Kluyveromyces lactis: one gene and its partner. The protein of the gene in region 1 binds, or shares a complex with, the protein of each later gene. Links are inferred from orthologs where the notes say so. Each region holds a gene or a part of one and is shown on either strand. Other genes may lie near its edges.

Region 1 (3,494 bases):
ATTTCTAATCTTCCTGCCTCATTTGGTAAACTGATTTCGATTTTTCTGTCCAATCTACCAGGTCTTAGTAAAGCAGGATCTAAAGTGTCAGGTCTATTCGTAGCCATAATAACTTTCGTTTGTCCTAAGTTGTCGAAACCATCCATCTGAGTTAATAGTTCCATCAATGTACGTTGAATTTCACGATCTGCTGAGGTACCTTCGCTAAATCTACGTCCACCGATAGCATCTATTTCGTCCATAAAGATGATACAAGGTTCATGTTCTTTGGCGTATGCAAACATTTCTCTAATGATACGTGCTGATTCACCGATGTATTTATCTACAATACCGGATGCTGGGGAGAAGATAAAGTTGGCACCGATAGTTGCAGCAACTGCCTTAGCCAATAAAGTCTTACCAGTACCAGGAGGACCATATAGTAACACACCCTTAGGTGGTTTGATTCCCACTCTCTCGAAAATTTCTGGGTTCTTTAGTGGAAGCTCAATGACTTCTCTCAATTCTCTGATCTGTTCCGTAAGACCACCGATACCATCAAAAGAGATTTCACCTTGTTCAAAAGTGGTCATATTATAAACTAATGGGTCAGTTTCTCTAGGTAAAATTCTCATAATAGTTAATGTAGTAATATCAAGTGTGACTCTGACACCCTTCTTTAGCTTGGAACGATCAACGGAGTTCCTCACACCCACAATATAACGAGGACCTGATGACGCTTTTACAATGTATTTTTCCTCGGAAAGTTCCTTCATAACTTCCCCAATGAGTTGGCCAATCGACTGTAACGCCTTGATATCCTGTTCTGTTCTCTCATATTCTGCTTCTAGTACCCGTATGGTTTCTCTGCGTTGCTTCAACATATCGTCGTATCGTCTGTGTTCCATAAGTCTTTTCTTAAAATGTAACATCGCTTTTTCCTTTGCAGCCTGTTCTGGATCCACAGGCTCCACCGTTTCAGGTGCGGCAGCGTTATTTTCTCCCGAATTAGAGTTGGTACCAGCTCCGTTAGTGTCATCACCATCGTTTTCTTCCATTGCTGCTAGTAAAGGATCCTGTTCTTGAGACATCTTTAGTATTTATTCTGATCAGACTAGCTTAATCTTCCTATTCCTGCTTCTCAATATGAAAGGAGAAAAATCCCGTACCTTTATTCTGTCAGTATTCCTTCCTGGTTGGACTAGTACTGTTATAATGGATTGACTCAACTCAATTGGTTGGATTTGGCCTTTCTTACCTATTCTCTTCATTTGGACTATGGGTTACTAGATTGAATGGTGGCAAAAGCATTCGGAATCTACTAAATAGAAAGGGAGATCATTACGCACGATTTTGAAATTTTCAGGAATAAAGCTTTTCAATATAAGATGGAGTATTGACTAACCTAAGCATCACGTAGGATGATGACCTGCCACGGTACAGTTTGAAGATATATAGTGGGTTCTACGTTTTATTGATGCGTTGATCTCCAGATAAGACAGTTTAATATTCCCAGAATAGTACAGAACAATGGATTTTCAAGCTTTTATATTCTGTGGACGTGGTGCGAAGCTAACACCGTTTTCCAATGTTCGTGGAGACACTGGTGTTCCCAAAGCTCTATTGCCGGTTGCAAACCGCTCCATGATTGAGTTCGTACTAGATTGGTGTGAGCAAGCCCAATTTAAAGAGGTCAATCTAGTTATTGACGCATCCGATGCTGACGAATTAGAGGAAAGTTTGAAAAAATACCGTGAAGTGAGAGGGCATTATTTTGGACTGTTATCCCAAAGCGTTGGATCGAACCATGCTCACTATTTGAAAAAACCATCTCCTATTAATATTATACCCTCAAAATGTGAGAATACAGGAGAATGTCTGAAGAATGAATTGCTAGATAAGATAACTGGAGATTTCGTGTTGTTACCTTGTGATTTCATCACAGACATTCCACCACAGGTGTTTTTAGATCAGTATTTGAATAAAGATCCGGAGAATCTAGCTATGGCAGTATATTATCACAATGGGTTTGAGAATATCGATAAGAAGCATTTAAAGCAATTCCTGACTGTATACTCCGAGAATTTGGAGTCTGTTAGTAAGCCCGTTCTTCTAGACGTTTATTCCAAAGACGATGTGGACAAAACGAAATATTTACAAATCAGATCCCAAATGCTTTGGAGATATCCGAACTCCTCTGTATCCACAAAATTACTGAACTCCTTCATTTACTTTTGCTCTCATGAGTTAGTAAACCTATTGAAGGATGAAACCGAGAAAGGTGCTGGAGAATTAGACTCTGATTCGGAAGCCGTTGATTCTTTGGCCACATCATTCCAGAACACGTCTTTCTTGAAGGGAAAGAAGAAATTAATCAAAGATCCAATAAACTGTAATAAATCGCTAGGCAAGCTATTCAGGGATTTGTCTAGGCGTTCGTGGCAGCATGTGAAACCCAGAGAAACTATAGGTATCTTCGTGTTACCTGAAATCGGATTATTTATCAGATCAAACAGTTTGAGTGCATACATGGAATCCAATAGGTACGTTTTGAAGATTAAACAAACGGCGATTCAACAACGCACTACTGATGGTTCTTCTGCTATCGGTGCAGATTCTATGGTTGGTAACAATTGTGCAATTTTGGAGAAAACCAATATTAAACGTTCGGTCCTCGGTGACAATTGTAAAGTAGGAAAGCGATGCCGTATCGTTGGGTGTGTTGTGCTTGATAATGTTGAAATTGATGATGAAACCCAGCTAGAAAATGTCATCATCGGTAGAAATGCAAAAATCGGCAAGAAATCAAAGCTTACAAATTGTTATGTTGAGGGCTCTTATATTGTCAATGAAAAATCCACTCTCAAGGGTGAAACTTTGACAAGTATTTACATAGATGACGAAGATTACGCATCCTCTTTACTGGATTCAGATTCATCTGGATCCGAGTCTGATTACACTGATGAATATTATGACGATGAGGATTATGTTGATGATGGACTCTTCGACCGTTGAACTTCGGTAAATTATTATAAATAGAGTATTTTTGCATATATCATGATCAAATAGCCGTACCATGTGTACCTTAATAATTATAGAAATCTGATAACTAATCTTCTGAGCTTGTGTAAACTTCTTGAACGGATTTCTGAATATTTACAGTTTATGTTTACAAAATAATTGATGATTTTCGTTCTGAATTAAATACATAATAATAAATTACTATTCACAAGTAAGATTTTCCTGATGTTGAATGAATGTGTGAAATTATGCTGAGAGTTGTTTCTTATCTTCAAAGAGCCAGTCCCAACGGTCCTTTTTATGCAAAATTGCTAAAATCAATACTGCCGGCAAATGTAGTACACTGACCCAGAATGTTCTCCTCGCATAAACGTTGGCCATTGCCAACCCTTTGTTGAATTCTGTCTTGTTATTGTATATCTCCTTGGAGTAATTACGCTTTTGCTGGAAATAAAACTTGAATGCCCATAGTGACATCCAAGCATTAACAAATG
Region 2 (2,768 bases), on another chromosome or scaffold:
CTAACCAAATATTCATAACAGTCATGATTTTCATCGACATCAGTGACATTTATCTTGTCTGGATCATTGGTGTCCCAGATTAACTGTTTCCCATATATTAAATCCAACACACCACTGAACTTTGACTCATTCGTCACAGGATCTACTTGAAATATTGGGGTATTTATAAGTAATGCTCTGGTATTCATTTTGACGACAAGTTCTTTCACTGTCCTGCTAAACCCAGCACCGACTCGATCCATCTTGTTTAAGAAACAGATCTTGGGTAAGCCACTTGACTGCTTCCAAACCTTTTCAGTCTGAGCCTCCACCCCTGCTACAGAATCCAAGATGGTGACACAGCTATCTAGAACTTTCAAAGACCTGATAACTTCGAATGTGAAATCAGCATGGCCAGGTGTGTCGATAAGATTGATCTTATAATCTTTCTTCCAATTGAACGATATAGCGGCACTTTGAATCGTTATTCCTCTCGATCTTTCCTGCGGTAGATAGTCTGTAATAGTATCACCTTGATCTACATCACCTATTCTATTGATCTTCCCACTGTAATACAACATTCGTTCGGTGGTTGTCGTCTTACCAGCATCGATGTGCGCGATGATGCCAATGTTTCTGACTTTACTCAGATCATGCTTAGTGGCATACCTTCGAAGAAATATCCTAAACGACATTGTATGTTGCATTGGCTACTTTGCAGAGCTTGGTAAGGGTATCTGGTATGAAATCGAACCTTCACTGGTTATACTAGTCTTTCTGATGGTTGTCTCGAAGGTTTACGGTACTGTTAGAAATTGTCTTCAATAAATTCAGTTTAATAGCACTCGAATAATACATTACATAAAGAGTAGTTAAATATCAGCCAATGGCTCCAGGATTAACAAGTAGACATTTCGAGAATGTAGTAATTGTAAGGATTCAACTAGTACCTCCAATGATGAGCCAAGTGGCACACTGTGCGGTGTTTAATAACAACATTTCAGACTCATCACCCATTTCAAAAATCATGACTTACGGATTTAACTTTTCACTATTGAAAGCATGGAACCATCTCATCCAACCAGCCAAAATGGTTCAAGTGAGGTTCAAAGACAATTAAACTAGGTAGTTAGTGGCCATTTGGGTACTGTCAGTGACACATTAAATACATACCAGTGCAAGGAAACAGGATCAATAGAGAAATACCAAACGAAATGACGATGCAAGAGTTTAATATCACCCAAACTTATTTGAAGTTTTTGGAAGAAGACAGTGAAATGACTATGCCTATCGCTGCCATCGAGGCATTAGTTACCATGTTGAAAGTTAAGAATCCCAAAACATCTGCAGAGATGATCAAATCGACAAAGCTAGCTATCGAAGAGTTGACTACATCTATTCCAAACTCAATTTCGTTACGTGCAGGTTGTGATATATTTATGAGATTTGTCTTGAAGAACACACATTTGTACGGTGATTGGGAAAATTGTCAACAGCATTTGATTGAAAACGGGCATTTATTTGTCAGTAGAGCTAAACAATCAAGAGATAGAATTGCTGAGATTGGGATTGATTTCATATCCGATGATGATATCATATTAGTGCATGGATTTTCCAGAGCTGTTTTCTCTTTACTAAGTCATGCAGCAGAGAAGTTAATCAGATTTAGATGTATCGTCACTGAATCCAGACCGTCTGGCCAAGGGTTGCAACTGTATCATTTACTTAAAAAGAAGGGTATCCCAGTGACAATGATTGTAGATAATGCTGTTGGTACGATCATCCATAAGGTAAACAAGATCTTTGTGGGAGCCGAAGGTGTTGCTGAATCTGGAGGTATTATCAATCTAGTAGGAACGTATTCTATCGGTGTCTTGGCGAAGAATGCAAGGAAACCATTCTATGTGGTTAGTGAGTCGCATAAGTTCGTACGTATGTTCCCTCTTTCGTCAGATGATATTCCAATGGAAAGAGATCCATTAGATTTTAGCAAAAACGGTATAGAAGACGATGAAGAACCATTGAGTGGGCCTTCTGTCGACTTTACAAGTCAAGAATACATCACAGCTTTGATCACTGATCTTGGAGGGTTGACACCTAGTGCTGTTTCTGAGGAGTTGATTAAGATGTGGTATGATTAAGGAGAATTTGATCCCTTCTCGGTTTAATATATATTTATACTTACTAAATACGATAATTAATTAAAATAGTTTTGATAGATACACAGCGTCGTTGTCCATTGGTTTTAATGGTACAGTACTTTTTTCACTTGTAACTTCTTCTACAAACGATTCGAAAGTATCGTCCTTCCATTCCAAAGGTTTGAATTCCTCTTCGTCTGCTACCTTATGAGCTAGCAATGCACCTCCTAGTCTATTTTGATTCGCTTCGCTGCTACTCTTCACTGACATTGTTATTACCTGGTTTTTCTTGGCAGTTGGATTCGCAGGTTTCGCCTTGGCATCCTCGTCCTTCTTAACCTGTTGATGCGAATCGATGTAACGGAAGTATGGTCTCATTTGGGCAACTTTCTCTACTGGTATTAAATATAGCTGTCCTTGTTTCATAACGCCTGCGTATTGCAACATGTCGTTGCTTACAGCCACACCTTTCAAAGTTTGAACGTCGACATTGTTCCAAGACTCAGCAGCTTTTTCTTTGTCGAAGAAGACCTGTGTATTCAATGGGATATCTATCTCCCAAACGCTTGATTCATCCTTATAGCGTACACCAGCAATTGGAGGATGTTCATCCATATTCTTCGCCAGTCTTTTAGGTTTGTTAGGAAA

Evidence for each region.
Region 2: GCD1 (region 1) and GCN3 share a complex: the UniProt entries of both Saccharomyces cerevisiae proteins name them as parts of the translation initiation factor 2B (eIF2B) complex. The link is inferred for Kluyveromyces lactis from reciprocal best matches to the Saccharomyces cerevisiae genes GCD1 and GCN3.

The regions. Positions count from the first base shown.
Region 1 is NC_006039.1:830,637-834,130, reverse strand, and holds GCD1 (translation initiation factor eIF2B subunit gamma), read left to right. Parts: upstream 1-1,509; coding exon 1,510-2,994; downstream 2,995-3,494. Other genes in the region: proteasome regulatory particle base subunit RPT4, read right to left, coding at 1-1,070; COX10 (protoheme IX farnesyltransferase), read right to left, coding at 3,247-3,494. UniProt on the Saccharomyces cerevisiae protein: Acts as a component of the translation initiation factor 2B (eIF2B) complex, which catalyzes the exchange of GDP for GTP on the eukaryotic initiation factor 2 (eIF2) complex gamma subunit.
Region 2 is NC_006042.1:1,293,047-1,295,814, reverse strand, and holds GCN3 (translation initiation factor eIF2B subunit alpha), read left to right. Parts: upstream 1-1,199; coding exon 1,200-2,120; downstream 2,121-2,768. Other genes in the region: mitochondrial elongation factor MEF2, read right to left, coding at 1-686; KLLA0_F13981g (uncharacterized protein), read left to right, coding at 866-1,099; RPC37 (DNA-directed RNA polymerase III subunit C37), read right to left, coding at 2,181-2,768. UniProt on the Saccharomyces cerevisiae protein: Acts as a component of the translation initiation factor 2B (eIF2B) complex, which catalyzes the exchange of GDP for GTP on the eukaryotic initiation factor 2 (eIF2) complex gamma subunit.